Linked DNA regions of Macaca fascicularis. The protein of the gene in region 6 interacts with the protein of the main gene of each other region in a pairwise test. Links are inferred from orthologs where the notes say so. Each region holds a gene or a part of one and is shown on either strand. Other genes may lie near its edges. The genes, in order: DNAJC4, CBR1, HSP90AB1, MGARP, PRKCZ, EGFR and FGR.

Region 1 (4,095 bases), on a different chromosome or scaffold from region 6:
CCGATTTCAAGCAACTCTTAGCTTGAGAGACACAATAGTACGGGACACGAGGTGCTGTGGAGGACTGGCTGACCACACTGGAATTCGCCCACCCTCCTGCCCTCTGCCCATCACCCCAGGGAGAACAGGCATCACCTGAAGGCAATGTAGTGCAGGCCCATGCCCGCCAGCATGAGGAGGAGGCAGTACCTCAGCACTTGCTTGTTTTGTTTGTGTTGCTGCTGCCTCGACTGGGGCCCCTGTGGCCTCACGCTATGAAACTGGGACCAGTACTGTGCGTTGGGGTGTGCCCAGGAGCTGCTGGGAGGCAGAGGAAGGGACATTGTGGAAATGAGCCTCCCCAAGAGACCTGGGGGTGGGGCAAGTTGAGGGCGGGATTACTGTACCTGTGTGTTTGGCCGGCAGACTTGTCATGGGCTGTGGTTTGTGGAGACTTTGGGGGACCACCTGAGCGGAGCTGAGCATCATACCTTCGGCGGCTCTGCTCACGGCTGAGCACACGGTATGCCTCACTCAGCTCCACAAAGCGGCTGTGCAGGCTTGGGTTCCCAGGGTCCCGGTCCGGGTGCAGCTGGGGTGGGGCAGGACTCCCCTTATCTCCCTTTGCCTGTCCCTCCCCAGGACCCATGCTGATGACATCCACCCACACCAGGGCTCTAGTCATACCCAGGAGCCCTGCCTGGTCAGTGACCCTCACTCAGGCCTGCCCACTCCTCAGAAGGCCAGAGAGCATGGACTCCTGCCTCCTCCTGCGTTCAAGCCCTCCCCACCTGCCAGCCCCCTGCATTCACCATATGCCCCGGTCCAGGTTTCTTAAGAGCAGGCAGGCAGGTCAAGAAAACGAAGCCCAGCCCATCAGACAGGACCCCTGGCTCCTGCCCACAGCCTTCCCCCCACCCTTGAGCACCCGCCACTCACTGTGAGGGCTGAAAAAAATGTGGCACCAGCCAGAGATGCAGGTCTACTCCTGGGAATTTGAAGCACACCCCCACTGGCTCAGAGTTCCTGCTCCCCCTCCCCACCTTAGGGGTACCGGTACCTCTTTGGACTTGGAGAAGAAAGCTCGTTTAACTTCCTCAGTGCTGGCACCAGGATGCACCCCCAACAGTTCATAATAATTACTGGGGCTGGACCTGTGGACAGAGTCGAAAACCTGCAGGGGCTGAGGGAACCCAGAAGCTAGCTCTGCCCTGCCCTTCCCAGCCCCTCCCTGGGCTACACCCTTCAACTCAGCTACCAGGAGCTGAGAGGGCTGAAACAGGTCCCAGGACAAATCTGTCTCCCTTTGGAGTGTTTCAGGCATAGTGCAGGTCAGGATTTCTCAAAGTGGAGTCCAAAGACTTGTTAGAAAATACTGATTCCTGGCCAGGTGCGGTGGCTCACGCCTGTAATTCCAGCACTTTGGGAGGCCGAGGAGGGCGGATCACCTGAGGTCAGGAGTTCAAGACCAGCCTGACTAACATGGAGAAACCCTGTCTCTCCTAAAAATACAAAATTAGCTGGCTGTGGTGGCGCATGCCCGTAATCCCAGCTACTGGGGAGGCTGAGGCAGAAGAATCGCTTGAACCCGGGAGGCAGAGGTTGCAGTGAGCCGAGGTTGTGCCCAGCAGAGATTGTGCCATTTGCACTCCAGCCTGGGCAACAAGAGCGAAACTTCGTCTCCAAAAAAAAGATAAAAGAAAAAGAAAGAAAAAACTGATTCCTGGCCGGGTGCGGTGGCTCAAGCCTGTAATCCCAGCACTTTGGGAGGCCGAGACGGGCGGATCACGAGGTCAGGAGATCGAGACCATCCTGGCGAACACGGTGAAACCCCGTCTCTACTAAAAAAAAAATACAAAAAACTAGCCGGGCGAGGTGGCGGGCGCCTGTAGTCCCAGCTACTCGGGAGGCTGAGGCCGGAGAATGGCGTGAACCCGGGAGGCGGAGCTTGCAGTGAGCTGAGATCCGGCCACTGTGCTCCAGCCCCGGCGACAGAGCGAGACTCCGTCTCAAAAAAAAAAAAAAAAAAAAAAAAAAGAAAAAACTGATTCCTGAGCCCCACCTAATTGATTCCTCCAGTTCAGAATCTCTAGAGCAGAGCCGAGGAATCTGGATTTTTGTACCCAACACCTCCCCATCTCCCACCTCCCACAGAGGGTTATGCACAGTGATGCCTGGAAACCACTAGAGCTGTGGTAAGAGCGTTGGGTTTAACCTGGACTCAAACTCCTCCTCTGCTGCTTAAATCGGTGTATGACCTTGGGGGTCTTCTCTATCTCTGATCCTCAGCAGGGAAGGCGAGGGTTACCTGAGACAAACCTGGGAGCCTCCTGACACGGAGTAGAGACCACAACTATCTCAGCACATAGGGCAAACAGAAACCCATTGAACAACCGGGCCGGCCCCCCGCGCCCAACTCACCGCTGCCCGGCGGCCGCTCCGAGGAGCCGGGAGGGAGGGCTGCGGGGCCACAGCCGGCACAGGCGCAGGGGTAGTAAGGGCGGCATGGCGGCGGGCGGACAGCTGGGAAAGGAGGCTACCAAGAGCGCACTGGTACCAGGATGGGGGCTACACTTCAAGCACCCGGGGGCAGAGAGAAGGGGCCCGGCCCGGTGTTCTGCGAAGGAAGACTGAAGCAGGCCCCGGGAGGGGGCGGTTCTTGCCCAGGACCAGACCTGCGTATTCTTGGACCTGCCCCTTTCTTTCACCCGGGCATCCGCAGCCCTTCCCAGCGCTGGCTTCGGGGTCTGGCCAACCAGCCAGGTACTCCGAGACCCCGTTCCCACCCAGGGAGCTTGTGGACGGGCGAAGGAGGGGCCACAACCAGGCCCCGCCCCCGCTGCTCAATGACCCGCGGCCGTCGCCATTTCCTGCGTCTACTCAGGCCCCGCCCTCGCACTCTCATTGGCGTGGATGCCAAGACCACGTCCACCAGGCGGGAAAAAAAAAAATCGGTGGAGCCCCCGCCCCTACATGTCTATTGGCCTTTGGTGCCTCCGGTCCCCCAGCCTGTGGACTCTCCGGACAGGCGCGGGCGCCCACCCGGGGACCGGGCGGGACAGAGCCCGCTCTCTGAGGCTTTGTGACGCTTTCGGCCCGGCCACCGTCTCTCCGTTCCTCTGTTGCTCCCCTCTGCAGCGAGGCATATCTTACAGAGCTGCTTCGGCCCCGGAGCCTCTCAGGAGGCAGCCAAGGGAGCCATAGCTCTTTATCCTCTGCTTGTAGAGAAGGACACTGAGGCTGGGCGGGTTTTTTTTTTCCTCAGGTCACTTGTCCTGCCTTACGCACTCAGGGCCCACTGTTCCTCTCTGTCACAGAAATAGCAGATGCCAACAGAATCCAAGAATAAAGTCCTTTATTATCTTCAGAGCGGTGGGAGTAGGGCTGGGGACCCTAGGGCTGCTCCGGTGGGACTTCCCTGAACCTGGTTGTAGAGGATGATGGCGCCTTTGGCCGAGGGGCAGAGTTCAGCCCACATCTCCGTCTCCTGCAATCTCCGCACGTTCTGTGGGGAGACAACAAGACCCAGGCATTCAAGCTTGCCACATCTCCTGCCAGGGCTGTGCCCAGAATTCCTGAGCCTCAGAGACCTCTGCGCTGTCCTTAGGGAGGCATGTTAAGGGGCTGAACAGGTCCCTGGACCTTTCCCTTGTACTAAGGGCAAATCTTGTGCCTCTGGAGGGAATTGTGACCCAGCCAACACCTGGGGATAATGCATTGCCAGGCCTCTGCAGGCCCCAGCCCTGGCCTCCAAGCAAGATGGTTTGTCACTCTGCACCTGTGTCTCCACAAAGATGATGCCTGTAGACTCGTGGGCCTCGGGTCCCCCACTCAGGTAGTGCTTTCTCACCTGCTCAGAAGTCAGGCTGCACCTGGACAAGAACACAGGGTGGCTTAGTGGGTGACCAGCCCCTGCGGGGTCCCTGTGGAGCCACAGCTGCCTCAGCCCACTCCTCACCACCCACCTCCCCAAGACCCAGGATCATGTACCCGAGCCCACTCACTGGACATAGAACTCGGCACTGGCTCGGCCAGCACTGGTCTCGTTTCGGGCGATGCCCAACAGCAGGGGCTGGCTCAGGGTGAGTAGCGGCAGGTTCACCTGTGGTGGAGGGT
Region 2 (3,958 bases), about 64 Mb from region 6:
ATAAACTCTCAGGATAGATCTCTGTTTCTTCATTTTAAGATGGGGATTAAAAGGTACATCCTGGAGTGTTATTTTCAGTGTAAAATATGGCTGTGAAACCTCCTACACCTATGCACAGGTAAACTGATGGCCCTGCAAATGCCCAGAGAAGTCACCTTGTAAAGATTTAATGAATGTTTCCCACCATTATTGGAAAATCTGGCTAAGTCAGTAGCTTTGTTTTCATATACTTAGAGAGGAAATCAACAAAAACTTGATACCCTGTCATTTCCTTCCAGTTTCTTCTGCAACTCTAGCTCCAAAGACTGCAGTTCCTGCAGTATATATATATATATATATATATATATATATATATATATATATATATAAATATATATATATATATATATTTTTTTTTTTTTTTTTTTTTTGAGACGGAGTCTCGCTGTGTCTCCCAGGCTGGAGTGCAGTGGCGCGATCTCGGCTCACTGCAAGCTCCGCCTCCCGGGTTCACGCCATTCTCCCGCCTCAGCCTCCCAAGTAGCTGAGACTACAGGCGCCCGCCACCACGCCCGGCTAGTTTTTTGTATTTTTAGTAGAGACGGGGTTTCACCATGTTAGCCAGGATAGTCTCGATCTCCTGACCTCGTGATCCACCCGCCTCGGCCTCCCAAAGTGCTGGGATTACAGGCTTGAGCCACCGCGCCCGGCCTTTTTTTTTTTTTTTTTAACAGGAAAAAAAAACATGCAAATGTACTATTTCTTCAAACACAACTAGGAATGATTGAACAGCTGGGGGAATAGGAAGAAAACCCCTCAGAGAACCAAGGACAAGCAGTGGCACATGGCCACTACGAATGGTTCTTCACTGTTATGTGGGCAGCCGGCAGCCAGCAGCTAGAGTCCGTCCTCGCTCTTCAGCCAGCAGTTCTGCAAAGTCAGGCCAGCTGGCTCTCCGCCCGCGGGCTCGCTCTTCAGCCAGCAGGTTCTGCAAAGTCAGGCCAGCTGGCTCTCCGCCCGCTCTGCACCCAGGCGAAGTTCGGGTGGGGAGGGGTAGGGGTGGTTCCGCTCCGCCCCGCCCCGCGCCCGCCCCTCCCCGCTAGGGGCGGGGCCTGGGCCTGCGCCTGCGCGCTCAGCGGCCGGGCGTGTAACCTACGGGTGGGCGCCCCACGCCCGCCAGATTCGCGCAGTCTCTGGGATACACGCCGCGCATCTCCAGGGCCTGAGCCAGGTCTGTTCTTCACGCAGGTGTCCCGCGCGTCCCATTCAGCCATGAAGTCCGGCATCCGTGTAGCGCTGGTGACTGGAGGCAACAAGGGCATCGGCTTGGCCATCGTGCGCGACTTGTGCCGGCTGTTCTCGGGGGAAGTGGTGCTCACGGCGCGGGACGTAGCGCGGGGCCAGGCAGCCGTGCAGCAGCTGCAGGCGGAGGGTCTGAGCCCACGTTTCCACCAGCTGGACATCGACGACCTGCAGAGCATCCGCACCCTGCGCGACTTCCTGCTCAAGGAGTACGGGGGCCTGGACGTGCTGGTCAACAACGCGGGCATCGCCTTCAAGGGTACGGGGAGGGGACGTGGCCTCCCCGACGTGGGCTGCTCCTGTCGAAGAAGCGCTGCACTGGGGCTCCTACCGGCTGCGGGGTCCAGAAGGACTCCCTAGGGAGGAGAGGGAGGAGCTGGGAGATGTAGGGAGTGCAGAAACCTTAGAGAAAGGGAGTTTTCCAGCCAAAGGGAACTTTGTGTTTCCCTGGCTCGGACTTTTGGGGATCTCTTTCAGATTTTCTGCAGTTTTTCTGAATTGAGCTTTAAGGCCATTGAATGAATTTTGAACTGATTTTAAAATAAACGATAAATTGCAAAAAGAAAAAATGGTTATGCCAAGATCCAGTGTGTGCGCCCTTCATCCTCTTTCCCCCAATGGTACCATCTTACAAAAACACTAGAACGTTATCAAACCAATAGATTGGCACAATACTGTAACCAGACACAGACTTTAGACAGAAGGCACTAATTTTTTATTTTTAGTATCATTCTATAGAATTTTACCTTGTGGGTACAATGTGTTAACTATGTTCTCTTTTTCTCCTAAAAGTTGCTGATCCCACACCCTTTCATATTCAAGCGGAAGTGACGATGAAAACAAACTTCTTTGGTACCCGAGATGTGTGCACAGAATTACTCCCTCTAATAAAACCCCAAGGTGAGTCTGATGGGAAACAGCGCACCTTCTCTTTGGGGCTTGACTCTGGCCCCTGCTTGTCTGGGATTTCTCCTACAGGCTCCTGCTTCCTCTCCATGCTGCATGTGCACTGACCTCTGTGCTTTGTCTCCTGCCAGCTGATAGGTGCCATTCTGCCTCAGGACTTTGTCCTCACTTCTCCCACTCCCATGGCCATTCGTCCTCCCCATCCCACTGGTCTTTGCACACCTGGCTAACTCTCTTAGCCTTCAGGTCTTAGCTCAAACGTCTCCTGAGAGATGCTCTTTCTTTGCTCCATGCCTCTCCGCGTGGGAGTCCATCCTGTACCCTTTCTCTGCTCTTTCAGAGAGATGTTATTCAGGCTGGTGGAACCTTTACTACCACCAGTTCATTAGGCCCTTCTAATACCTGTCACCTGTCTGGAACACTCCTTAAGCTCCCGACCACATAGTTGTCTTGCTGCCTTTCCGTCTCTTTCTGATGCCTTTCCCCACAATCTAGGATGTTTCCAGAGGATCCCTGTCCTTTTCCCTAAGTTATCTGGGACACAGACCCCACCACCTACCCACCAGGATCGTGCAGGTCACCATGCCCCACCCCTCATAATCACTTACTAGGTCCTAGGAGTTGTGCCCACTGAGTTCCTCCTGAATCCATCTCTCCGGCTTTACAGCAGGCCCTCACCTGTCCCTCTGGACAACTGCAAACCCTCACAGGGCACCTCTGGTCTTGAGTCTTTTCCTTTCCCAGCATCCTGCATGCTGTCTGCATGGTCATGCCGCTCCCAAAAATCCTTCAGGAGGAAAGTCCAAGCCCTTAGCATGGCACACAGAGATGTCCATAATCTGCCGCTGCTTAACTCCGGGCCCATTTTAACTCCCCTTCAACGTGCTCAAGGTGCTGGATACGACTATCACATTTCTTTGGTTGTAAACTGCTGTAATCGTTACCCTAAGTAATGGGACAGGAGATGAACCCACCCATTAAATAAAGCAGCAATTAAGCAGCTACTTTTAGAAAAATTTAAATGTGTGGCTTCGAGTTGGGTACTTTCATGTACGGCTTACTCTCAGCTTTTATCCTGTTTCCCTGTCCTGTCATCCTATTAAGTTGTGCTACTTCTAAGGCTCTGGTTCACCAGGACCTCAAAGGGCAGCTCTTCCAGATCTCACCTGACTCTACTCAGCCAAAATTTGAAGGCAGGAATGAAGTTCTTTATGCAACTACCACCACACTTGCTATGCGCATTCCTCTTAGAACTCATACCAGCAACTGTCTCTCATATGAAAATTTTCTGCTTCAAAATCCCTGCAAATTTGGCATTCACCTTTCTACAGGATTGTTGCACACCTTTCTACATAATGCTTTGTGGTGTATCTTAGGGAGAGTGGTGAACATATCTAGCATGATGAGTCTCAGAGCCCTTAAAAGCTGCAGCCCAGAGCTGCAGCAGAAGTTCCGCAGTGAGACCATCACCGAGGAGGAGCTGGTGGGGCTCATGAACAAGTTTGTGGAGGACACCAAGAAGGGAGTGCACCAGAAGGAGGGCTGGCCCAGCAGCGCATACGGAGTGACGAAGATTGGCGTCACCGTTCTCTCCAGGATCCACGCCAGGAAACTGAGTGAGCAGAGGAAAGGGGACAAGATCCTCCTGAATGCCTGCTGCCCAGGGTGGGTGAGAACCGACATGGCGGGACCCAGTGCCACCAAGAGCCCAGAAGAAGGAGCAGAGACCCCTGTGTACTTGGCCCTTTTGCCCCTGGATGCTGAGGGTCCC
Region 3 (2,467 bases), on a different chromosome or scaffold from region 6:
GCTCTGCTGCCTTCCAGACTCCCCTCTGCAAATACCTGCATTTCTTACCCTGGTGAGAAAAGCACAAGCGGTGTAGGCTCCAATGCTGCTTTCCCAGGAGGGTGAAGTGAAGATGGTGCTGTGTTGTGGAAAGGGGATGCAGATCCCTGCCCAGCACCACCACCTCCTATGCTCCTGGATCCCTAGGCTCTACTCCATGAGCCTGTTGTAGGTTTTGGTACTTTAGAAATGTAACTTTTTGCTCTTATAATTTTATTTTATTAAATTAAATTACAGTAATGGACTTGGTCCTGTGTTTTGACTGAAAAGGCATTATTATATGGTAGTTTTTCAGAAAAACTGCCTTTAGCTTCAGTGTGTGCACTCTTAAGACTCACTGGTATTCTGTATCTTAGCTACAAAACCAGCTTAACTTGCTGTGCTCATGAAAACAGCAAGAGCTGGGGGGGATAGAGAAGCTAGGGAAGAATAAACATCCACTTCACAAGGGAGAGCAAAAGTGTATAAAAACGGCATATTCTTTATTTTGCATACTTTAATTTCAGAACAAAATGAAGAAAATAAAATAAACCACAACACACAACATCCAATCCTGCTGTCAGAGTAGAGAGGGAATGGGGCTTGACACCCTTGGTTTCCTGCCTTCAACACAAGGACAGGAGAGGAAAAACAACACTAGACATCAGCAGGGGGAGCCAGGTGGGACAGGGGCACTTGAGGCTGCAGTGGGAGCCACGGGGACACTATACAAGGGCACAAGTTTTCCAACTATGAACTTCTAACCTAATCGACTTCTTCCATGCGAGACGCATCCTCATCGCCCTCAAGAGGGGGAATCTCATCAGGAACTGCAGCACTGGGTTCTTCTGCTGCCACTTCATCTTCATCAATACCTAAAGTAAAATTAAGCCATGTAAGACTTGATTAAATAGCATTAAGTCAAATCCAGACAGGAGCCTAGTTGCACAAACTCCTTGCCACATCAAGTACCAAAGCTGCTTACCTAGACCTAGCTTGATCATGCGGTAGATGCGGTTGGAGTGGGTCTGGGGATCCTCAAGGGAAAAGCCTGAAGAGAGCAGGGCGGTTTCAAACAGCAGCACCACCAGGTCCTTAACTGCCTTATCATTCTTGTCGGCCTCAGCCTTCTGCCGCAGAGTCTCCACAATGGGGTGGTCAGGGTTGATCTCCAGGTGCTTTTTGGCCATCATATAGCCCATGGTGGAGTTGTCCCGAAGTGCCTGGGCTTTCATGATCCGCTCCATATTGGCTGTCCAGCCATAGGTGCTGGTCACAATGCAGCAGGGTGAAGACACAAGCCTATTGGAGATTGTCACCTGTGGACAATCACAAAAGCCTTAGATTTGCATTAGATCAGTGACCACTTTGAAAGAGAAAACGGACACTGTCAAGCCTGTAATTCCAGCAGGGGGAGGAGGAGGAGGTGGGGCCGATCACTTGAGTTTGAGACCAACCTGGCAAAACCCTCTCTCTACAAAATATACAAAAAATTAACCGGGTGTGGTGGCACATGTCTGTAATCCCAGCCACTCAGGAGACTTGAATTTGCAGTGAGCTGAGATCCAGTCAAAAAAAGAAGAAAATAATATTTTATCTACTCTCACAAGTTAACTGAAGCAATGCCTAATCTGTGCCAAATTTTATTAAAATAGCCTTAAACCTGGCTAGGGAAGAGAACAAGAGGCAAGAAGGCTCCAAACAGTAAATAGGGTGCCTCAAGCCACTAATTGTGTAAAAACATGATTGTGAGGGAGCCCACCTCAAAGGTATGTTACAAAATATATCCTAGCTCCAGAATGGCTTACCTTCTCAACCTTCTTATCTAAGATTTCTTTCATGAGCTTGCAAAGGTTCTCAAACTTTGCCTTGCTCTCTTCCATCTTCTTCTTCTCCTCCTCATCCTCAGGCAGCTCCAGACCCTCCTTGGTAACTGAGACCAGGCTCTTCCCATCAAACTCCTTGAGCTGCTGCACACAGTACTCGTCAATGGGCTCGGTCATATATACCACCTCGAAGCCCCGTTTCCGCACTCGCTCCACAAAAGCTGAGTTGGCCACCTGCTCTTTGCTCTCACCTGTAGGGTAATTAAATGGACTCAGTGACTAAAATGCCTCATACTGCCAGTTCCTAGGTAGCCCTGAAATGTGCTCCCCACTCCTCCAAAAAGGCTTCCATCAGAACCAACGCACCAGTGATGTAATAGATGGACTTCTGTGTCTCCTTCATGCGAGAAACATACTCTGACAGAGATGTCATCTCATCTCCAGACTGGGAGGTGTGATAGCGCAGCAGCTCAGACAGGCGGCGGCGGTTAGTGGAGTCCTCGTGGATTCCAAGCTTGAAGGGTGGGAAGAGAAAAAACAATCCAACTTAACTACAATTCACTTTCTATGTGAATGGAAAAATTTGTTAGTAATTACTAAGAAAGTGGTAAAGGGAATAAGCA
Region 4 (3,059 bases), on a different chromosome or scaffold from region 6:
AGTAAGGCCTCTTTTAGCCATCCTACCTAAAATTACAACTTCCACCTCGAACTAACACAATCCTTTTATTTTCATTACTTTTATCCTTAGCACTTATCAGTATCTAATATACTATATAATTTTCTCATTTGTCTTGTTACCTGGTTCCACTCTAGAATATAAACTGGGAACACTTAAAACAATGCCTATTATGTTGTAAGTGCTCAGCTAATATTTGTTGATCACGTGAATGAATGAATGATTCCTGGCACAAAGTGTTAATCCTCAATAAATATTGTTTGAACTGAACTGAAACAGAAAATATCTACATAGTCCCCTTTGTAAGTACTATAGATGGGAGAGGGCATACATATTGTTATATGCAGGGTTCTCCATAGACTATATGCTGTTTCTTCAATAATATTACGAAAGCTTGCATTTCTCATGTGATGTTATGTATGTGTATGTTAATATGTATTATTTGTACATGCAAATATTAGTGAAAAAAGTAGAAGCACCAAAGCTTTTCTAATTTTATTTGACTCAAACTATATTTTAGACCTACATACCATACAATAAAGTAAGCTAAAAGCATAGCAAAATTAAAGTAAATACAGGTTGTATGGATAGCTCAATTTCTCTCATATAAAATGTCAATTCAGAGATAGAGTGATAAAAGAAAAATGTCTAGGAAAAAAAAAGCCAAAGATGAAACTATTTAAGCTCTTTACTGCAATGTCATATTCTGATCTCAGACAGTAGAATAGTAATAAGAAATGTACAATCTCAAGTCTCTCAGTCCTAAAATCTATCAGTGGATGCCAAAAATCTTCAAGACACATTAACATTTTCTAGAAAATGTCTTTTTTTTTTTTTGTAAACTAAGTGTACTAAAAACACAAAAGCACTTATCAGACACTCTATGGCATTTGTTGCTGAAATGTCTACCAGCTGGAGATTAGCCTTGAGCGGAAGCAGCCTCAGAGCCAACACTGGCTTCCTCCTGTAAATCATCTCCAGCAGAGGACTCTGACTCAGCTGGAGAATTTTCTTCTTCTAGTTCAGCATATTCATCAGAGCTTTCGTTCTCTGTTGTATCTTTATCATTATCGATGGTGACAGCTTCATCCAGGGCAGCATTTGTAACCTCTGGGGTTGTTTCAGGGTTTACTTCTGCGGTTTCCCTTGCTGCTGCATCTGTCACCTCTGGCCCAGTTTCAGCACTGACTGCTGTGGTCTCCGGAGCAGCCTCCACGTGACCTGGACAGGCAGATGCCTCTTTTATGACCACAACTGTAGCACCGGGACTTTCTTCAGCATCTACCACCTCGGCTTCCACTGCAAGTACTTCTGGGGCTTCTGAACTTGCTTTCTCAGTTTCCGCAACATTCTCCTTTTCACCTTTAAGAATGAGTCATTAAGCAAGGTATTAATTTAAAGATCGCGGGAAGGCAATGAAACACTGTGGTCATTTAAACACGTAAGACAGAGCTACATGCACCGATGTGTAACCGTCTTCAAGGTAGACTCTCAAGTGAAACAGCAAAAAAAGAACAACGTATACAGTCTGCTAGTATTGTTAGGGCAAAATGGGAGGGGAGCAGGAGGCGGGTAAGTTGTATGCCTACGTAATTGTATTTGCAAAAACTCTCCAGGAGGATTCAAATAAACTGGTTTTATTGGTTGCCTCTTGGAGGGAAAATGGGGGTTCTGCTTTTCTGTAAACTCTTTGAACTTAAAAAAATACACTTGAATATGTTACTTAGGCAAAGATGAAGAATACAAAAATAAGCAGCTACCCTATTCACCTTTCATATGAGATAGCATGGAAGAGTAGCCAAGTTCCTAGCTGGTGACTCAGAAATCACTAATCCTCTCTCAACCTCATTTTTGTCATCTGTAAAATAGGGTATTCATAATATCTACTGCACAGGGCTATTGTAAAGATTAATTACAATACTGTATATGAAAAGGGGATTAAAATAAAAAGTTCTATGAAAATGCTTATTTTATTAGTATTATAAATAACCACGTGATTATATTCAATAATATGTATTGATGATATTCTGTTTCTTCTTATTGTCATGACAGGTGAAAACTGGTTCATAAGCCTCTAATATCTCTATCCCTAAATAGTGATCATAGTAATTGATAATAATAGCTTGCAAAAAAGTATGGTTTAAAGCAAGAAGGTGCTAGGCATAGTGGCTCATGCCTGTAATCCCAGCACTTTGGGAGGCTGAGGCAGGAGGGGATCATAGGAGTCCAGGAGATCAAGACGACCAGCCTGGGCAACATAGTGACACCCTGTCTCTGCAAAACATAAAAAATAAACTTGCTGGGCATAGCGGTGCATGCTTGTAGTTCTAGTTGCTTGAGAGGCTGTGATAGGAGGATTGCTGGAGCTCAGGAGTTCAAGGCTGCAGTAGGCTATGATTGCACCACTGCACTCTAGCCTGGTTGACAGAGGGAGAACCCATGGAGGGAAGTGGGAAGGGAAGGGGGAAGGGAAGGCAGGAAAGGAAGGAAAGGAGGGAGGGAGGGAGGAAAGGAAGGAAAGGAGGGAGGGAAGGAGGGAAGGAAGGCAGGGAGGGAGGGAGGGAGAAAGAAGTGTAGGAAGCAAGGAACGAAAGAGTGAAAATATAAAGTTTCTGTTCCCATGGTCACCATTTTATCAAATGAAGGACTCAATATACACGACTGATCCTGTTGTGTCAAATGGACCTTGTTTGCACAAAGGCACACAGGTGATCTTAGCCCAAACTGAAAGATAATTAGTTATATTATTATTTTAAATAATGAGGAAAATGAAAGCTCATGCCTGCATGGGTGGATGCCTGAGCAGCGGAAAGTAATATTATCACAAGAAGTCAAAAGTCACTGGTCAGCAATATAACTGTAAAACGTTCATTTGTCAAATGCATGCATCCAAAAGGTGTAACAGTGTTCTTCAGGTTTCAGTTGAGCTTTTTCTTTCTAAATGAACTTATACCCAGAGTCATTCTGGATTAAGCTAGGAAAGAAGCCAAAAGCAAATAGTGTTCATTGCTAGACTAAACGGATGGAAATTAGTGCCTCAA
Region 5 (3,500 bases), on a different chromosome or scaffold from region 6:
GAAGGTTCCATGCAATTTTGTGAGTCACCTTAGATTCTTTCTGGCAATAGGACAGTAGGCAATAAATCTAGAACAGTGCACTCAGTTCCCACACGCTCTTGTTAAAAACCGTGGCAAGATACACACACACACAAGGTAGCGTTTTGGGGCATGGAGTTCAGTGGCACTGAAGGCCCCCCGTGCCACGCAGCCACCGCCGGCCCCCGTTCCCAAAGCACGCCGCTCTTCCCTGCTGAAGCTCAGTCTGTCGGACACTCCCTTCCTGTCCCCCGCCCCAGCCCCACGTCCTCGCCCCAGATGGGCATGTCCCACTTTCTGTACCTCTGATTCGAGGACTCTAGGGACCTCTTCGCAGTGGAATCACAGTGTGGGTCCTTTGGTGTCCTGGAGTCCTCAGGGTTCATCAGTGCTGTGGCCTGTCTCAGGATTGCCTTCCTTTTTCAGGCTGGATAATGCCCATCGGATGGAAGGGCCACACTTTGCTTCTCCGTCCATCCCTTGGGGGGCACTTGGGTAGCATCCGCATGTTGGCCGTGGTGAACATGGGTGTAAAGTAATCTCTTGAACACCCTGCTTGCGGTTCTTTGGGGTATAGGCCCAGAAACTGAATTGCTAACCACAAAGGAATTCCGTATTTCTTTTCTTTTTTTTTTTTTGATGGAGTCTCGCTCTGTCACCCAGGCTGGAGTGCAGGGGTGCGATCTCAGCTCACTGCAACCTCTGCCTCCCAGGTTCAAGTGATTCTCCTGCCTCAGCCTCCTGAGTAGCTGGGACTACAGGTGTATGCCACCACACCCAGCTAATTTTTTTTGTATATTTAGTAGAGACGGAGTTTCACCATATTGTCCAGGCTGGTCTTGAATTCCTGACCTCAGGAGGTGATTCGCCCGCCTTGGCCTCCCAAACTGCTGGGATTACAGGCGTGAGCTGCCCAGCCTGGCGCTGTGTTTAATTTTCGAGGACCTGCCGGACTGTCTTGCGCAGCAGCGGCGCTGTTCTGCACTCCTACCGCAACGTGCCAGGGCTCCAGTCTTTCCCGCGTGGAAGCCGTCGTGTTATTTGCCTGCTCCTCCCCGTGTGGAGGCTGCCACGTCGTTCTCTGTGTCTTTGACAGCAAGCCATCCTAAGGCGCATGGGGCGGTTTTCTGGAGCTTTCATTGCATTTCCCTCCCTGGCCCTGTGCACTGAACTTTCAAATCCTGGGCCTGGTTGTTGAGAGGACGCCTGGCCCGTGGTAGGGCAAACGGGAGCGTGCGGCCCCCAGGCTGGAGCTGTTGGTGCAGCCTCCGGCACAGGCCCTGTCCCCATGACAGCATCCCGCCCCCAGGTTCTACGCGGCCGAGATCTGCATCGCCCTCAACTTCCTACACGAGAGGGGGATCATCTACCGGGACCTGAAGCTGGACAACGTCCTCCTGGACGCGGACGGGCACATCAAGCTCACAGACTACGGCATGTGCAAGGTGCGTGCCTCGGGCCGCCTCCCCCGACCATCCCGCGTGTGCTTCTCAGGGCGCCTGTCCTGCGGGGTGGTGTCTACAAGAACCCTCTTGTGATAACTCTGCCCCCACAGGAAGGCCTGGGCCCTGGCGACACAACAAGCACTTTCTGCGGAACCCCGAACTACATCGCCCCCGAAATCCTGCGGGGAGAAGAGTACGGTGAGTGCCGCGGCCGTCCCCTCTCGGAGCACACGGGGCCAGAAACAGCCTCGCGCCTCGCCCAGCGGCGGGGGAGAGGTTTCGCTGACCATCTTCCACCCAAAAGCCACACACTCTTTCGCAGCCGGATGTCATCATCTGGTCTCAGCCCCTTCTTTGAATTCTTGAAAACCTCCCGTGTCCACTTGAGCAGCCCCTTGGGGAAGGGCACCGCACAGGATTCCTCCTGCCAAGGAGCCCCAGGGGCACAGGGAGGGGAAAGGCACAGAAAGCGGGGGTGGGACAGGGTGCGGCACCTGAGTCCCCGTGCTGCCCACGTGGCTGGGGAGAAGCAGGTGTCTGGGAGCACCAGGAGGTGCAGGAGCGTGTGGAGAGGACCCCACCGCCCCTGCGGCTGAGGGTGCCACACACACCGGAGTGTTTCTGCTCCTCTCCCGTCTCTGGGAGTGAAACATGGACATGGTGGGCATGCGTGTGCAGCCCTGTGTGCGTGTGTGCTGGTGTGTTGTGCTGAGTCTTTATGTTTTGGGCATCCGTGTATATTGTGTGCACACGCATACTGTGTTTGTACACACCCCATCCACTTTTGCATCCTGGTGTTTTGTTTGCTTTTTTTTTGAGACAGAGTCTCGCTCAGTCGCCCAGGCTGGAGTGCAGTGGTTCGGTCTCGGCTCACTGCAAGCTCCGCCTCCTGGTGTTCACGCCATTCTCCTGCCTTAGCCTCCCGAGTAGCTGGGACTACAGGCGCCCGCCACCACCCCTGGTTAATTTTTTGTATTTTTAGTAGAGACGGGGTTTCACTGTGTTAACCAGGATGGTCTCGATCTCCTGACCTCATGATCCACCCGTCTCAGCCTCCCAAAGTGCTGGGATTACAGGCGTGAGCCACCGCGCCCGGCCTCATGCTGGTGTTTTCAGTGAGGCATACACGAGTGTGCCTTCAGATGTTTTTACACATTTTTTTGCCATCAGAATGGGGGTGGGGCAGGAAGGGTGGGCAGGTCACTCACCCCTGGGATAACTGGGCTCCCCAGCTGCCGCGATGGAAGTCTCCGTGGCCAGAGAAGGACAGATAGCAGATTGGAGGACTGGAATCCATTCTAGAACCCAGCTCGGGATGGGGATTCTGGGGGGGACAGCGGCAGCGTCTCACCTCAGCAGGGAGCAGGGGGACTTCTGGGGACCCAGGGGCAGCTGCCGTCCTTGGGCAAAACTGCTCAGGGCCTCCCACCCCCATTCGCTGGAACACGTTCCCATCAGGTTGGCTACTTGAACATTTTTAAAAAACAAAATAGCCGGGCACGGTGGCTCAAGCCTGTAATTCCAGCACTTTGGGAGGCCGAGACGGGCGGATCACGAGGTCAGGAGATCGAGACCATCCTGGCTAACACAGTGAAACCCCGTCTCTACTAAAAAAATACCAAAAAAAACTAGCCGGGCGAGGTGGCGGGCACCTGTAGTCCCAGCTACTCGGGAGGCTGAGGCAGGAGAATGGCATAAACCCGGGAGACAGAGCTTGCAGTGAGCTGAGATCCGGCCACTGCACTCCAGCCTGGGCGACATAGCGAGACTCCGTCTCAAAAACAAAAAATAAAACAAAATGACTGTGGAAGAAAACCCGGGAGAGTCTTTCCGTTATTGCAGCAAAAGGGCTTCTTCAAGCTTAGATCTGTGAACGCAGAAACGAGAGAGGAGGGTCATCCACAGGATCCACCAGTGCCTCGTGCCTCTGTGGTCACAGGTGCCCTGGCAGGACTGACAGCCCAGAGACAGCCTGGAGACCTCCATAGCGTCAGGGACGGTGGCAGGGAGGCCGAGCTGCCAGGCGGAGCTGCTGGT
Region 6 (3,500 bases):
GGCTGGGCTGGTTTGGGGAGGGAGTAAAAGGCCAGAGTGCACCCTGTGGAGGAGCTGTCTGTAATTGAGAAGGAGCCACAGGAAAGAGATCTGCATTTGCAGGAAGCTCTCATCTGACCCCAGGCTGGGGACTGGGCCAGCTGAGAGCACTGGATGAAAAGACTGATGTTCAGATGTTGGATGGCAGGGGGTTAGAGTATCATCCAGAGGCTTCTCCTCTCCCTGCTGCTCTTCTTTCCCCCATCTTTTTCCTTTCTCCTACACTGATGAGTGGTCTTGCATAGGAGCCTGTAACCAATACCATTAGGAATTCTCCCCCACATATGCCCAGGGAGGCCAGACACCAGGGAAGAGCCAGATGGTCCTTGCAGGGCAGGCCTGGAGCTTCAGTGAGTCATGACCTGGAACCTGTGGCCACCCTGCCTCAGTAGGAGCTGGAATCACCAGACTTCTCATTAAATGTGAAAAGTAAGTAACCCTTATCTTGTTTAAATCCCTACAACTAAGCCAACTGGCTCATACCAGCCATCCAAGAAACTTGCTCTAAATCTCTTGTTTTTATAAGAATCTCAGGCAAAGAAGGTATTCCAGAGAATTCAGAGCAAAAAGGCTTTTCTGGGAAGCAATGGTAGCCACATATTTAGTATCAGAGATTCAGAGCCAAGGGAGTTTATGGGAGGCAATGCATATTTCATGCACTCTTACTCTCTTTAATGTTGCACAGTATTATCTAGTGCTTTAGGAGTCAAGTAGGGGCAGCAGTTCTCATAAGGGGGCTGCTTCCAAGGCTGGTTTTACTAAGAGATTCCCATCTCCTCCTCCATACCACTAAACTGATGATTACCATTACCATATTAAAGATGCTTGTGTGTGAGCACCTGCAAGTCTATTCCACTGTCAAAGCTGAAAATGTGGAAATTCTTAAAGAGTGGTGCTAAAAAGTCTATCTGGTCCCCGTGATAAGATGTGCATAACCTCAACTGCATCCTGAGAAAACACCAGCCGAACTGAAATGGTTAGACAGTCTGCAAAGTACCTGAACAACACGTTTTATAAGAGTCAAGGCCATGAAAGACAAGGAAAGACATAGGAGCTATTACAGGTTAGAATGGACTGAAAAGATCTGACAACTAAGTGCAATGTGGGATCTGGAGTGGACACAGAAGCATAAGCACTGGCGAATGCTGAGAAGTCTGTGGTTTAGCAGACAGCCTGTGCCAGTGGTCGTTCAGTCTTGATCCTTGTGCCTGCTCATGTGAGATAGCATTCGGGAATGCCGGCGAGAGATACAGGAGCTCTGTGCCCTATCTTAGCAACTCTCCTGTTAAGCCTAATTTCCAACTAAAAAGGCAAAATGTAATCTACCAGGCTCTTTGGCTGTGGTCAACTTACTGTTGCTTGGTCCTGCCACGTATGATTTCTAGGTTCTCAAAAGCATGGAGGTCCGTCCTGTTTTCAGGCCAAGCCTGAATCAGCAAAAACCCTGTAAGGCAGAGGAGACTCAGACACACACCACACAGGAGTTTCTTTTTTGTATGAGACATTACTCTAGACTCTCAGGGACTTTGTATTATAGGAACAGTGAGTGGGAAAATTGGATTTGCTTTCTTTTTCGTTATCATCTTCTCTGAGTGTACATGCGAATGGGCGGATGCAGGCCAGCCAGAGTTCACGGCTGCCTCCCGCCTCCCCCAGCGATTCCCCATGTCTCCCGCCGCCCCTCTGGCTGTGGCCCTGGGACCCCTGCTGCGCAGGGTATCTGATTACCCCCAAGAGGCTCCTGCTGCGATTATCTGCCAATTATGGATCTGGTATCACATACAAGGAGCTTTACAGATTTTCCTTATTTGATTCCAACCCTAAAACAGTTGTGTTATATAAGTCTAATTTTCCCATTTTAGAGAGGAAGGAAGCGGAGCTCAGGTGGCAGTCATGGACCCGAGGCTTGCCCGTGGCCCCACAGGGCTCTGGCATCCAGTTTCAAAAGCCTGAGGCCCAGGCTGCCCCTCGCCTACCCCTGTCCTCTCCCTCTACCCGCAGGGGTTATGGGCCACCAAGGCAGCTGGCTGGGGCCGGGTAGGAGGGAGAAAGCGTGTTCACATGCGCAGTGAATGACCTAAGCCTGGGCTTAACGTGTCCCCTTTTGCCTGCAGGGAAACTGTACTTTTGAAAAGTATCAAAACATCAGCCATTAATGGTAAAATTTCAGAAGAAATGTTTTTATTCCAAGGGAGAAGGAAATATGTCGAAAAGTTCTCGCTCTAAAACACTGATTTCCCATTTATATTCATGCGATCATTCAGCTCAAACCTGTGATTTCCTTTACGGTTTTCAGAATATCCAGTTCCTGTGGATCCAGAGGCGGAGTGTGTGTGAAGGAGTCACTGAAACAAACAACAGGTGATTATTGATCTCCTGTCTCTACCAGTTAAAAAGGCAGACTTTGTTTTTCTCTATACAAGTAACTGAACCTGTGACTCACCCCCTAAATGCCACCGGCAGGATGTGGAGATCGCCACTGATGGAGGTGCAGTTTTTGAAGTGTTTAATATTTGTAGCATTTATGGAGAGTGTGTCTTTAAATTCACCAATACCTATTCCATTACACACTGCAGAGATAAGAGAGACGTGTATTCCGTTCACATTGGTGGATTAAGAATAGCTAGGGATCCACAGGCAGAGGGAAGCAGGAAGGAATTCCAGTCGCGGGAACTGCCACTGCCATATCAGCCTTCATTCACTCAACAAACACTGACGGGGCTGGGGAGGGTGCGGGGGGCAGGGGGACACGAGGACCTATAGCACACTTTGGGGCTACGGCGGTATAGGAGATGCCATCCCTGTCACTGCACACCGACCTTGCATTCTCCTCATTATTTCCCCTGGGCCGCATGGAGCTGGACTGCTTCCAGCTCTGCCTTCCCTGGATTCTCCCCAGGGCTGGGCATCTGGCAGCTGCTGAGGGGCTGGCTCTGTGCACTGTTCTCGTCGGAGCCCCCCACCCTATCACAACCTTCAGTGCCTTCCCATTGCCTAACCTGGCTTTGCAGCTTTATCTTCTATTTTAAAGAAATGATATTTATAGTTGTTTTTTAATGAGAAGAAGAAGTAGTGTTCATTTGGAGGTGGCATGAAAGCCCAGCCTCAGCAGCTGAGAACAAGCCTCATCCGCACACCAGCGGGCTTCCTACCTTTGCGGCAAGGCCCTTCGCACTTCTTACACTTGCGGACGCCGTCTTCCTCCATCTCATAGCTGTCGGCCCCGCAGGCTCGGACGCACGAGCCGTGATCTGTCACCACATAATTACCTGGGGAAGAGAGCATGAAAGGAAGGTGACGACGGTGGCGCCAGGTGCTCGGGCCTCACACAGACAGTCCAGGTCCTCCTCTCGAGTGCTGATGGAAAGGCTCCATCCTCCTTTGGCTTTATTTACTTTAAGGACAAAGAATGAAAGGTTGCAAATAGAAAAGGAATTCCGTTCAATAGTTTAATAAATTCT
Region 7 (3,500 bases), on a different chromosome or scaffold from region 6:
TTACAGGCGTGAGCCACCGCACCTGGCCGTCTATCTCATTTTTATAGCCTCAGCTTAAAAAATCACCTTCTCCAGGCCGGTTGCAGTGGCCCAACACCTGCCCACCCACCCCCCACCCCACCCCCCACCCCACCCCAGCACACAGTTGCAATCATCCAGGGTTTTTATTTTTATGTATATGTGTTCGCAACTAGGCTGGAGCATTCTGAGGCTAGGGACCAGGCGGGATTCCTGTCTGGGTCCTGCTTCCAGCCCAGACAATGTTCTGACTAGGTGGCCTGGTCACTTACGTATTGTTCAGGATGTGGAACTTCTCGCCCTTGGTGAAGGTGAGGTCATCCTCAGTTCGAGCCTCATAGTCATACAGGGCGATGAACAGGGTCACTCCAATCCCTGCAGAGTCAGGGCTACTCAGCAGGGTAGGGCATGGGGCAGAAGCACCAAGGGGGCTGCACCCCCAAATTCCTGTTCCCCAGCCAGGCGCTGCACCTCCCCACTCCTCTAGTGCCCCGGCTCCCAAAGGCCTTTGGAGTCTAAGGAATTTCAGATTTGGTCTCCACAGCTTAGGACACACAACTTCAAGCCCATTCCTCCCACCACGGAGGATCCCCTTGTTGCCCACTCCTCCTCTTCCCCACCAAGAAGACTTCCCATCTGGGAAGTGGCTCCTAAAAGGGCAAGACGTTTCTCTTTGTCACTTGCATCTGTCACAGGGTCATGCCCCTCTCAGCCTGGGAGTAGAGCTTCCTGACCCTCCCCTGCAGACTGTGGTTTCTGACGGTAGGGCTGTACAGACTCCCTCAGCCTGTGTGATCTTGAAAGCGGGGTTGTGTCTGCCACATCCTACTGGAGGCTCCTAAGGGCGAGTCCGCATCTCCTCTTCTTCCCTCAGTTTCTCCCAGGATCCAGGCAGCACCTGACTCCAGCCCCCTGGACTCACCTGACACACCCCTGATGGTGCCACCATCAAGGAAGCCAGGGTTGATGGCCTGAGAGGAGAAGTTGCTGTAGTTGGGGATGTGGACAAATGATGATGCAGGCTGGGCCTTAGTGGGGTCAGGCCCATAGTGGTCTGCTGCCCCGTAGCTCCTGAAGTCCCCTTCCAGGCCGGCATCCTCTTTGGCCGTGGCCGCCGGCTCCAATTTCTTGCAGTACACACAGCCCATTCCAGGTTCCCTGCTACAGAATGGGGCATGCCTCACTCAAGGGCCCCTGCCAGGTGCATCACTCTGTGCACACACGTGTACGCACATGCTCATACGCTCATACAGGCACATGGCTTTCTCTCTTGGGCCTAGATTGGGGTCCTCCCTCTAAGGGAAAAAAACGGAGCCGGGCCACCTACTGTACCGTTCAGTCTGCCTCACAGTATGTCCCCGCTCAGTGCTTCTCTTTCCATTGGCTCGTGTCTATGTCTCCGGGGCTGGCTTTCTACATTGGGATATTGCTATGCTTATTTGTATATTTTTGCCTCCTATTGCTTTGTTTTTTGTTTTGTTTTGTTTTGTTTTGTTTTGAGACAAGCTCTCACTCTATTGCCCAGGCTGGAGTGCAGTGGCACAATCACAGCTTGCGGCAGCCTTGATCTCCTGGGCTCAAGTGATCCTCTGGTCTCAGCCTCCCAAGAACTGGGACTCCAGGTGCGTGCCACCACCCCTGGCTAATTTGTTCGATTTTTAGTAGAGACAAAGTCTTGCTATATTGCTCAGGTTGGGTCCTAATGCTTTGATATGTTGTGTTTCTGTGACTCTTTCAGTGTGCTTGTACATGTGTGTCTTTGTGTGTCTCTAAGTATGGGTGAGTTTGCCTGTGTGGGTATGCGTGTGTGTGCAGCTCTTTATGGATGTCTGTGTGTCTGTGTGTGCAGGTTTGTGTGTATGTGACAGTGTGTAAAAGTCTCTATGTATGTGTTTGGCTGCATGTGTGTATGTCTGTAAGACCGTGTTTGTGTGTATGTGCTTCTGTGTGAGTCTATGTGTGCCTGTCTGTGTGAGTGGGTGTCTCTGTGTCTGTGTGTCTAGGAATGTGCACGTAGCTCTGTGTGGGAGCAGTGTGCCTGTCTCTGGATGTATCTCTGCGTGTATGTCTATATATCTGCGCATGTTTATGTGTGAGTGTGTGTGAGGCTGTGTGTCTGCACCTGGAGAGTCACTGCAGAGGGGGATCAAGGCCATTTCCTGTCATGGGTCCAGTCTCCAGCCTCTCAAGCTGCCTCATTCTGGCTCCCCCATCTGTTACCTAGCAACAGGGTCCTTATAGGAGGAAGGGGCTGTGAGGAGTTGTGGGGTTCAGGAAGGCCACCCCCACCCTGTTTCGTGACCCTGAAAGCCCTCAGTCCACCCCACTCACCCCTTAGGCCCCTACTCCTGGGTCAGTGGGGCTGCGGCATGATCCTTGGGAGGGGTCAGAGACCTGAGGGTGAGACAGAAGGACAAGGAAGATGAAGGCTCTGCCAATGTTTCTGTCAGCAGCTGCCCAGCTCCTGCCCTCTTCAGGAAGCCAGAAGGCCTGGGCTCTGCCCCAGCATGACTTCTGCCTTCAGTTTCCTTCCTATCACCCCTGGCACACTTACACAACCACTGTCACACAGGGCACACCACCCACACCAGCTCTCTTTCACACTCATACTCACGGGACACACCAGCACAGTCTCGCAACAACACTCACAGCATGCATTTGCATGAGTGTGCATGCCAACACCGTCACACGCCAACAGAGGCTCTAACAAGCCCAAGCTCACAATAACACACACACAGACACATGCACATATACATGTGGTGCCTGCCAGGTTAACAGACACACACACTCAGACACGCATGATTTTGTACATTATAATCATCTCTCTAACAGGATTTCTATCAAGCCATGCTCAGCTCCCTCATAGTCCCCAGTCACCTTCTCCTAAAAACCAGTTCTTCTGGCCGGGCGCGGTGGTTCATGCCAGTAATCCCAGCACTTTGGGAGACCGAGGTGGGTGGATCACAAGGTCAGGAGTTCGAAACCAGCCTGGTCAATATGGTGAAACCCCATCTCTACTAAAAATGCAAAAATTAGCCAGACGTGATGGTGGGCGCCTGTAGTCCCAGGTACTCGGGAGGCTGAGGCAGCAGAATCACTTGAACCCGGGAGGCAGAGGTTGCAGTGAGCCGAGATCGCACCACTGCACTCCAGCCTGGGTGACAGAGCAAGACTCTATCTCAAAAAACAACAAACAAACAAACAAAAAACAGTCCTTCTTCTGAACCCTGCTGTGCTCCCAGCCACCCTAGGGTTCCATGTGGTGGCTGAGTGACAGTGGATACCTGCCTCCGGAGCTCTGCCCCTATCCCCATAGCAGGGAAAGGACCACGTCAGAAGTTGGGGCCACCAGAGTCCCTTGGGAAGGCCCACAATGAGCCAACTCTTTTCTGGCAGCTGTATCCTCTGAGCAACAGGGCAGGAGGTCATTGAGCAAGGGTCCCCCACACCCTGCCAGAAACTCTGCCATTGCAACACTCAGA

Evidence for each region.
Region 1: the proteins of EGFR (region 6) and DNAJC4 interact in a protein complementation assay, tested with the Homo sapiens proteins (2 studies listed by BioGRID and IntAct). The link is inferred for Macaca fascicularis from reciprocal best matches to the Homo sapiens genes EGFR and DNAJC4.
Region 2: the proteins of EGFR (region 6) and CBR1 interact in a protein complementation assay, tested with the Homo sapiens proteins (2 studies listed by BioGRID and IntAct). The link is inferred for Macaca fascicularis from reciprocal best matches to the Homo sapiens genes EGFR and CBR1.
Region 3: the proteins of EGFR (region 6) and HSP90AB1 interact in binary tests that used the Homo sapiens proteins (3 or more experiments, as listed by UniProt). The link is inferred for Macaca fascicularis from reciprocal best matches to the Homo sapiens genes EGFR and HSP90AB1.
Region 4: the proteins of EGFR (region 6) and MGARP interact in a protein complementation assay, tested with the Homo sapiens proteins (2 studies listed by BioGRID and IntAct). The link is inferred for Macaca fascicularis from reciprocal best matches to the Homo sapiens genes EGFR and MGARP.
Region 5: the proteins of EGFR (region 6) and PRKCZ interact in a protein complementation assay, tested with the Homo sapiens proteins (3 studies listed by BioGRID and IntAct, with this or other methods). The link is inferred for Macaca fascicularis from reciprocal best matches to the Homo sapiens genes EGFR and PRKCZ.
Region 7: the proteins of EGFR (region 6) and FGR interact in binary tests that used the Homo sapiens proteins (3 or more experiments, as listed by UniProt). The link is inferred for Macaca fascicularis from reciprocal best matches to the Homo sapiens genes EGFR and FGR.

The regions. Positions count from the first base shown.
Region 1 is NC_088388.1:10,164,321-10,168,415, forward strand, and holds the start of DNAJC4 (dnaJ homolog subfamily C member 4), read right to left. Parts: upstream 2,801-4,095; 5' UTR 2,487-2,800; coding exon 2,401-2,486; intron 1,134-2,400; coding exon 1,040-1,133; intron 572-1,039; coding exon 387-571; intron 301-386; coding exon 136-300; intron 1-135. Other genes in the region: uridine diphosphate glucose pyrophosphatase NUDT22, read right to left, coding at 3,344-3,484, 3,758-3,851, 3,984-4,081.
Region 2 is NC_088377.1:10,882,558-10,886,515, reverse strand, and holds the start of CBR1 (carbonyl reductase [NADPH] 1), read left to right. Parts: upstream 1-1,158; 5' UTR 1,159-1,251; coding exon 1,252-1,540; intron 1,541-2,073; coding exon 2,074-2,181; intron 2,182-3,291; coding exon of another isoform or gene 3,292-3,563; coding exon 3,564-3,958. UniProt on the Homo sapiens protein: NADPH-dependent reductase with broad substrate specificity. Catalyzes the reduction of a wide variety of carbonyl compounds including quinones, prostaglandins, menadione, plus various xenobiotics.
Region 3 is NC_088378.1:127,264,848-127,267,314, forward strand, and holds the end of HSP90AB1 (heat shock protein HSP 90-beta), read right to left. Parts: intron 2,359-2,467; coding exon 2,211-2,358; intron 2,096-2,210; coding exon 1,827-2,095; intron 1,338-1,826; coding exon 1,004-1,337; intron 894-1,003; coding exon 784-893; 3' UTR 501-783; downstream 1-500. UniProt on the Homo sapiens protein: Molecular chaperone that promotes the maturation, structural maintenance and proper regulation of specific target proteins involved for instance in cell cycle control and signal transduction. Undergoes a functional cycle linked to its ATPase activity.
Region 4 is NC_088379.1:144,415,373-144,418,431, forward strand, and holds the end of MGARP (protein MGARP), read right to left. Parts: intron 1,381-3,059; coding exon 938-1,380; 3' UTR 501-937; downstream 1-500. UniProt on the Homo sapiens protein: Plays a role in the trafficking of mitochondria along microtubules. Regulates the kinesin-mediated axonal transport of mitochondria to nerve terminals along microtubules during hypoxia.
Region 5 is NC_088375.1:232,605,381-232,608,880, reverse strand, and holds part of PRKCZ (protein kinase C zeta type), read left to right. Parts: intron 1-1,327; coding exon 1,328-1,463; intron 1,464-1,573; coding exon 1,574-1,661; intron 1,662-3,500. UniProt on the Homo sapiens protein: Calcium- and diacylglycerol-independent serine/threonine-protein kinase that functions in phosphatidylinositol 3-kinase (PI3K) pathway and mitogen-activated protein (MAP) kinase cascade, and is involved in NF-kappa-B activation, mitogenic signaling, cell proliferation, cell polarity, inflammatory response and maintenance of long-term potentiation (LTP).
Region 6 is NC_088377.1:75,246,011-75,249,510, forward strand, and holds part of EGFR (epidermal growth factor receptor), read right to left. Parts: intron 3,309-3,500; coding exon 3,192-3,308; intron 2,610-3,191; coding exon 2,483-2,609; intron 2,385-2,482; coding exon 2,311-2,384; intron 1,484-2,310; coding exon 1,393-1,483; intron 1-1,392. UniProt on the Homo sapiens protein: Receptor tyrosine kinase binding ligands of the EGF family and activating several signaling cascades to convert extracellular cues into appropriate cellular responses.
Region 7 is NC_088375.1:207,442,968-207,446,467, reverse strand, and holds part of FGR (tyrosine-protein kinase Fgr), read right to left. Parts: intron 3,036-3,500; 5' UTR 2,896-3,035; intron 2,413-2,895; 5' UTR 2,350-2,412; intron 1,180-2,349; 5' UTR 1,167-1,179; coding exon 941-1,166; intron 394-940; coding exon 291-393; intron 1-290. UniProt on the Homo sapiens protein: Non-receptor tyrosine-protein kinase that transmits signals from cell surface receptors devoid of kinase activity and contributes to the regulation of immune responses, including neutrophil, monocyte, macrophage and mast cell functions, cytoskeleton remodeling in response to extracellular stimuli, phagocytosis, cell adhesion and migration.